Rattus norvegicus: one gene and its partner. Each later gene encodes a partner of the first gene's protein in a complex. Links are inferred from orthologs where the notes say so. Each region holds a gene or a part of one and is shown in the gene's direction. Other genes may lie near its edges. The genes, in order: Ap1m1 and Ap1s1.

What was found.
Region 2: the proteins of Ap1m1 (region 1) and Ap1s1 are in contact, whole or in part, in a crystal structure (PDB 1W63), measured with the Mus musculus proteins. The link is inferred for Rattus norvegicus from reciprocal best matches to the Homo sapiens genes AP1M1 and AP1S1. Residues at the interface, in NP_031482.1 of Mus musculus: Lys12, Glu31, Asn186, Asn188, Val189, Leu190, Glu232, Glu234, Asn270, His272, Arg421; in NP_031483.1 of Mus musculus: Lys26, Lys30, Arg33, Glu34, Gln37, Lys43, Glu51, Trp52, Arg53, Asp54.

What each region holds. Positions count from the first base shown.
Region 1 is NC_086034.1:17,629,721-17,633,531, reverse strand, and holds part of Ap1m1 (AP-1 complex subunit mu-1), read left to right. Parts: intron 1-2,160; coding exon 2,161-2,317; intron 2,318-3,811. UniProt on the Homo sapiens protein: Subunit of clathrin-associated adaptor protein complex 1 that plays a role in protein sorting in the trans-Golgi network (TGN) and endosomes.
Region 2 is NC_086030.1:25,260,558-25,264,839, forward strand, and holds the start of Ap1s1 (adaptor-related protein complex 1, sigma 1 subunit), read left to right. Parts: upstream 1-1,478; 5' UTR 1,479-1,554; coding exon 1,555-1,557; intron 1,558-4,282. UniProt on the Homo sapiens protein: Subunit of clathrin-associated adaptor protein complex 1 that plays a role in protein sorting in the late-Golgi/trans-Golgi network (TGN) and/or endosomes.

The sequences.
Region 1 (3,811 bases):
CCACAGCTTCCTCATGGCCCCTTCCTGCAGCCATTTCCTCAGGGTAATTCCAAGGAGCAATTCCTGTTTGGTTCCTTTCACTATGCACAGTGACTCTGAGGGTAGAGCCTACCTGGGCGTCCTCATGTCCTGCAGCTCAGAGTCCCATGTCCTGCGTTCACATTCTTATCTGCCCTCAGCTGACCACGAATGGTTTTGTGTTTTTTTTTTGTTTTTTTTTTTTTTTTTTTACTAAGTGTGTGGGGAGGCGAGAGGGATACGGGTATGTGCGAACGTGTGCAGGCGTCCCTGGAGGCCAGAAGTAAACATCAGATCCCCTACAGCTAGAGTTACGAGCACTTGTGAGCTACCCAATGTGGAAGCTGGGAACTGAACCTGGGTCCTCTGAAAGAATAGCAGTGCATGGGGTTGGGGATTTAGCTCAGTGGTAGAGCATTTGCCTAGCAAGCCAAGGCCCTGGGTTCGGTCCCCAGCTCTGGAAAAAAAAGAATAGCAGTGCACTTAAGTAACGAGCCATTTCCCAACTCCTGGGATTTATTTATTTGCTTATTTGGTTTTATATACATACATAGTGTGTATCTGTATATGTATGCATATATGTGTGTGTGTGTGTGTGTGTGTGTATGCACATACACACACATAATTTTTATTTTATGGTTGTTAGTATTTGACTGCATGTGTGAGGGTGTCAGAAGCCCTGGAACTGGAGTCGTGGATAGGCGTGCACTTCTATGTGATTCTGGGGATTCTGCAAGAGCAGCCAGTGTTCTTCATTGCTAAGCCATCTCTCCACCTCCTGTTTGTTTTTTGAGACAGGTTTCTCTGTGTAGCCCTGGCTGTCCTGGAACTTGATCTGTAGACCAGGCTGGCCTCAAACTCAGGGATCCACCAGCCTCTGCCTCCTGGGTGCTGCGATTAAAGGCCTGCACTGTCATTCCCAGCAAACCTAGGATTTTTTAAAAAGACAGGGTCTCACTGTGTTCAGTCTGAAACTTACTATGTAAACTTCCTTACCTCTGCTTCCAAGTGCTAGGATTAGAGGTGTCATACCATGCTTGACAAAGTATTTTTAGCAGGGAAACAGTTTGCTATATAAGTGTGAAGAACTGAGTACAGATTCCTAGGACCCACATAATACCAGGAGGGTATGGCAGCCCGTGATCCCAGGAGCCTGCTGGCTAGCTAGATCATCTGAGGTGGCAGCACAAAGAGAGAGGGGTCGGGGAGAGGGAAAGGTGTTGCATTTGAACTGGGTTTGGTATCTCATGCCTATAACCTAACCACTCTGGAGGCAGAAGGACTGCCGTGAGTTTGAGGCTAGCCTGGGCTACATAGTGAAATCATCACGACAAAGCAAAAGCCTCAGGAATGTTTTTTGTCAGAGCAGGCTGTCCTTAGATACCACAGCACTGTATTGGAGGGCCCTCAGATTCTGGAATCCTGGGGTCCTGGAACAGCCAGATTCTCCATACATCTGTTGCAAGACAAGTCCTTTTGTCTCTGGTGTGGCTCTATTTAAGATTCAGCCACTGGGGTGTTCATTTATGTGGACTGGCTCATACCTGTCATCCCAGCACTCAGGAGGTAGCAGCAGGAGAAACAGGAATTCAAGGCTATCCTTGGCTACATAGTGGATTTGAGATGTGCCGAGGCTCCTTGAACCCACTCCCGGCTTCATTCTCCGTTGAGTGCCCATGGACACACAGCTTCTCTGATTCTCTAGGATGAGCCACTGGGTCATACTTAACTCTGGTGTCACTTTCTGAGGAGCCACCAACTTTGGCTATTTCACAGGATGATGGACAGTGGTTCAGACACCATGCAAGGAGGAAGACCAGGGCAGGGCTATTCCTGTACAGGCTTCAGTGGGATCCCATGAACTTGGACTCCTCTGGGATCAGGTGCTCAGGAGAGCCAAGTGTGCCAGCACAGCAAAGACACTGAGAGGGTCTGCATGGAGTGCTCATAGGGCAAGGCTTGGCCCAGTGTCTGAGGGGATCAGTCCCTCCTTTCTCCACCTTCTGCTGAAGGAAGAGCCTTGTGGTGGGACTTCATAGGGTGAAAATCAGACTAGCCTCAAGTTGTGTCCCTTCACAGATGGTCCCCACCCCTACCTCAGACCCTCAGAGGAAGCCACCCCTTCTTTCCTTCCTAATGCAGGTGCTCATCTGCAGGAACTACCGTGGGGATGTGGACATGTCAGAGGTGGAGCACTTCATGCCCATTCTGATGGAGAAGGAGGAGGAGGGCATGCTGTCACCTATCTTGGCCCATGGTGGCGTTCGTTTCATGTGGATTAAGCACAACAACCTGTACCGTATCCCTATGCTGTGGAGTCAGGCCTTGGGGATGACACGCCTGCCCACCAGCACAGAAGAGCTGGGCAGCCAGAGGACACAGGCCTCACACAGAGGACACAGGGAATGCTAAGTATTCCAGAAGCTGCAGCTGTGGGAGGAGGGGAGAGACACAGGGCAAGAGTGGGAGCCAACTGGGCCTGAAGTTGTCCTCTGGAGATGTGTCATGTTAAATGGGGTAGGTCTTTGGATGGGGTGGACTGGCTATAGGTGGCCTTGTGGTCTAGAGATTTCTGGCTGCTGTGTATGGCCACACTGTCAGGAGCAGGAGTGGACAAATGAGGGGAACAGGGTAGGAGTAGGGGTGGGAAGATCTCATGTGCCCTACATCCTCAGCCCTGCTTCAGCCTCAAATCAAGTGTGATGCCAGGTGGAGACCCACCGTGGCTGCACCCACCACTTTGGGCTTTGAGCAGACCTCTGGAGATCTGGCTGTGCAGGAGCTCTTCAGCTGCCAGTCCCCTCGTCAGTAAATGTGTGCATGCGTGTAACCCCTACAGGCACAGATGCCACCTCTTCCCAGGGACATGGTCTTCCCTTGCAGTTCCTGCCCTGCTCTCCCTCCCAGGCATAGGGTTTTTTCCCTGATGTATATTAGCATTTGTGAACTCCCTTGTAGAGTGGGCCTAAAGTCCAATAGAAAGGTGTTGGTGTCACCCATGATATCTGTGCCAGTAGTGCACATGTGGTGTTTGAGCACACTGGGTCCATAGCTGAGCAGGAGTGTTGATAACTGTTCATCAACAGCCCTCACAGCCCTTTCTGGCACTAGGAAAGCCAACCAGCAGGGTGGGAGTTTCCATTTGGTTCCAACTTAATTTCCCCATGTTCTGCAGTCCAAGTGCAGTGTCTTCAACAATAGGCTCTTACCATCCGGTTCTGCTGTACAACAGCAGCAGCGGCCTGCATGGCTCATGGAGCTTCAGGGTGTCCTGCAGCACCTCCCAGGAGATAGTCTGCCCATGGCACAGGGACTTCACCCAATAACCTGATGACCTCCGCGAGTGTCCTTCTCCATCCATGTAGGGTACCAGTTGGATTTAAACTCTTTACCTGTTTAAACAACATTTTGTTTTTTACTTTTTAAAGGCATCATTTGTAGACATATTTTACCTGCATGTTTGCAGGCCAGAAGAAGGCATTGGATCCCCTGGAACTAGAGTTAAAGCCAGTGATGAGCCACCATGTGGGTGCTGGGGATTGAACTTGGGTCTTCTGGAAGAGCAACCTATGCTCTTTACCACTGAGCCATCTCTGTAGCCCTCCACTTTTCCTTTCAATTATTCAAGCCTCAGCTGGGCTGTAAGGTAGGTAGAAGTGCCATTACACCTGGTCGTCTTCATGTTAGTGAAGTGACTGCTATCACTATTATCTCCATGGATGTCCACACATAACGCCTAGCTGGCTGAGACCTTGGTGGTGGCTTCCCCTGCTGCTCACTTGCATGAAATGCT
Region 2 (4,282 bases), on another chromosome or scaffold:
TTTTTTTTTTTTTTTTTTTTTTTTTTTGGACATAGTGTCTCAGTCCAGACTATGAACTACCTACATAGTCGATGGTAATTTTGAACTCTTTTTTTTTTTTTTTTTTGTTCTTTTTTTTCGGAGCTGGGGACCGAACCCAGGGCCTTGCGCTTCCTAGGTAAGCGCTCTACCACTGAGCTAAATCCCCAGCCCCAATTTTGAACTCTTGATCCTAATATGTCTGCCTCTACCTTCCAAATCCCCACATTATAGGTGTATACCGGCGCATTCCTGTTCTGTAGCCCTAAAGCTGGTCACCACCTCTTGCTCCTCCTGCCTCAGCCTCTGCAGAGCTGGGATTAGAGGTATGCCTCACCACACCCAGTTCTCAAAACCCACCCTCCATTTTGGTTTTGGCTTCTTGTTTGCTTGACAGAGCCTCACTGTGTAGTCTAGGCTGGCTGTGGCCTTCTGGCTATGGGTTTACACCACACCCCTTCAATACCTTAAGATTCTCCTCATTCCGTCCCCTTTCTCCTTAATTTACAATTTCCTCCTGCTCTTTATAGTGTCCCCCTTTTCAGCAATTTTTTTTTATCCCTGGTTTCTACATATTTTGTTTGCTTTAAGACAATGCAGCATCTCCAAGTTCTTAATGAATACTTAAGTGTTGTACTGTCTTAGTTTCTTTAAGGTTACATTTAGAAGTATATTTTGCATTGTCTGTGACCATGTGGGGATGTATGCAGGACCAGGGCACTTGCTTGTGCAGATATCAGAGGACAATTTGCAGGAGTCAGTTCATTCTTTCCACCTAGTGGGTTGGGGGGAAACATCTTTACTATCCGAGCCATCATATCTGCACTGTTTGGTGTCACTTTTTTTGTTGCAGACAGGTTCTCTTGTGGCCGTGGGCGGTCTCGACCATGCTATGTAGTTGAGGCTGAACTTGAACTGCTGTTGCTCCTGTCTCTGCCTTCCAAGTGTAGACATCACGTATGTGCTCCTGCCGTGTTTGTTTTGGAGACAGGATCTTGCTCTGGAACTCTGAGCTGTTCTTGAACTCTTTATTCTCCTGGCCTCCCGTCCTGTATTTCCCTCATCCTGCCCACCACCACCCTTTCTTTGACTGATGTTTCCCACACCATTCCTCCCAACTTCTTCGTAAACTCTAAAGATCCTTCATCCACCTCTCACCCTTTTCCCGCCTTTTTCCCCCCCACAAATGCTCCAAAGCTCGAGGCCCTCATTGTCCTCCACTCCCCTTCCCATCCTCCAATCAACCCACCAAGGCAGCCTTGTTACCATGACGACCGGGCTTTTGCAAAGCTGAAGTCAAGGACCTGGTTACCATGGTTTCCGCTTCTCCGCCTCCAGCCCCGCCCGCGCGCCGTATGAGATTGGGGGGGGTGTGCTGCAGCGTTGGCGCCTGCGCAGTGAGACCACGCCTGGAGCCGGCGCGGTCTAGGGGCGGGGCTTCAGGCGGAGAGGGAGGGAAAAGAAAAGAATCCGACTGGGAGTGGAGCTGGCTTCTACGGTGGCCGGAGAGGGACGCACCGGGCCGGAGGCTGCAGGATGGTAGGCTTTGAGGAGAGGGAGGGGACGGGGACCCGAGGGGCGTGGGCTGTACCTGCGAGGGTCCGGAGGGGGGCTGCCCTTTGTGGGAGTCGCCCTGTCTTCTCTGTGGTCCGCTAAGGATCCACTTCCCAGAGCTGCTAGGGAGAGCTGACCTCGGAAGCTGGAAATGGCACTAGGACAGGGGCGGGGAGGAGTCTTGGTTGGGAGAGAGGGGACTAGGGCTGAATGGTGGCGGGACTGTCCGGAGCCTGGAGAAGCGCTCGGGATTCTGGGTTCGGTCCTAGAGATCCTCCCAATCACCGCCGCAGGGAAGACACGAGGTTGGGGCTCCGGGGTCACTCGGGATGGTTGCAGGTTGCCGAATCCCCTTCCCATGAGGCCCACACTGGAGCAGGGCCCATGGAGAGCTCAGTGTGGGAGGGGACAGTTTCCGGGTCTCTGGAGTGAACCTCCTGTCTCGGTTCCTTGACAGAACTCGCTCGGAGTTCTAGCTCAAGTGGGCTCCAGGGTTTGCAGTCAGGGAAGACTCCCTGACTTTGGCAATCCCAGCTCTCCACCCTCTCCGGTGCATTTTCTTTTCCGGAACCCAGGCCTTCCGTCTTCCTGCTGTAGTTGTCACCTCCTTTTCTTAGCTGCACACGGCTCCCTCAGTTCTTCACCTTCCTTATCCCCCACCAACAACACTCCCTAGTTTCTGGGGTTTGTTTCTTTTAACTTAACCTGCTAAACTGGAAGTGTGGCACACACACAGATATCCCAACCCCGGCCATGTTCTCAGAGCTGTTTGCAGGGAATTGAGTTCAGGATATGGAATCCGGAACCTCTGCAACTGGGAAAAACAAAGAAAACAAAAACAACAACAACAAAAAAAAAACAAAAAACAAAAACTAGGTCCATGCGCGAAGCAATGAGGACTCTGCCTGCTATTTATTCCACAGACATTCCCTAGGAGAGCCCTCCTGGGTGACTGGGCCCTGTCTGAGGGACTGAGCAACCAGTCACCTGATGTCTGGGAAGAAAGGTCAGGCCTTATAGTGCACACCTGTAACCTGGCACTCAGGAGCTAGAACCAGGGGGATCAGAAAACCAAGGGTAGCCTTGGCTATCTGGTAATTGAGGTCAGCCTGTGCTACGTGAAACATTGTCTCCAAACAGAAACAGAGAAAAGAGGGCCAGAGAGATGGCTAGGTAGCTGATAACCTGAGGTCATTCTCAGGAACCCACTGGTGGGAGAAGTGAACTGACCTCCACATGTGGGTGGTGGAACCTGGGTGCCCCACATATATATGTAAAATAATATAAAATAACACTTTAAAAAACTGGGAAGAAAGAAAGCCAGTACTTGGAGCTAAATGTGTGGACAGCAAAGGAAAATGGAGGGCAAGATCTGAATATCCCTGTGCCTCGTGCAATCCAATGTATGTACAATTTACAGAGAAGAATGTCAACAAGCATGGGACTGGCACAAGAGGCCATATTGAGTCAGGAACATCTGAAGGCTTATTGCAGGATGGAGTAGCCACCCAACATCTGTGAGACATGGGGTCTAGAAGAACATACATAGAACTGCTGTCTGTTGACATCAGCTCATCAGGAGGCCAGGCATTTTCCCCATGGAAAACAAGGTTAGGAAACAGAAGTTCAGGGGAAAATAGCAGCGCCTAGCATGTTGCAGGTCCTACTGTGTGCCAGGCACCCTCATAAATGAACTCATTTAAGAATTCCTTAAGGGAAGAAGGGTGGAGAGAGAGATGGTTCAGCAATTAAGCACACTTACTGCTCTTCCAGAAGACCAAGGTTCAGTTTCCAGCACCCATGTCAGACAGCTCACAATTTTCTGTAACTCTGGACCCAGCAGATCTGACACCTCTGGTCTCTGTGGGCACTTGCACTCATGTGCACTAACCCGCTATGTAGACACATGCACACTCACACAGAGTTAGAAATAATAAAAAATGGGCTGGAGAGATGGCTCAGTCCTTAAGAGTATGTGTTGCTCTCACAAAGGACCCTCCCATCACCCACCATGGCGGCTCATAACCGTCTATAACTCCGTTTCTGGGGGATTCGACAGGTACGCGTGTGGTGCACATACACATGTGCACATAAATATCATACACATACCACAAATCTTTAATAACAATAAGTCCTAGAAGACCTCTATAAAAAAGTGTCATTTCCATCTTGTGGATAAGCAAACCGAGGTTCAAAGGCTGCTTGATACTACTGAAGGGCAGTCAGACAGCTCAGTGGGTAAAGGCACCTTCTGCCAAGCCTGAGTGTCAGAGTTTGATCCCTGGAGCTCACACAGTAGACACAGACAACCAGCTCCCCAAAGCCGTCCTCTTACCTATACACACACACAAGTAAGTGTGATAAAAATGCTTTTACGTTTATTTTATCATGTGTGTGGGTTTGTGCTCGCACAGCATGAATGTGGAGAGAAGACAGCTTGTGGGAGTTGGTTCTCTCCTGTAATGTGGGTCACAGGTATTGAGCTCAGGCCACCGGGCTTGGAACCAAGCACCTTAACTGATTTAGCCATCTTGCTGGCCCAGTGTAAAGTAGTTTGCCTGAGGCTGTACTCAAGCTAGTAGAGCCAGTATTTGAACCCAAATCACAGGCATAAAAATCTTTGACTTCCCCCCCAGGTACGACACTCCTTGTAGGGATAGCACCCAGTATTGACAGCTAGGACAGGAGTTTTGAAGGAGTTATCGATGTA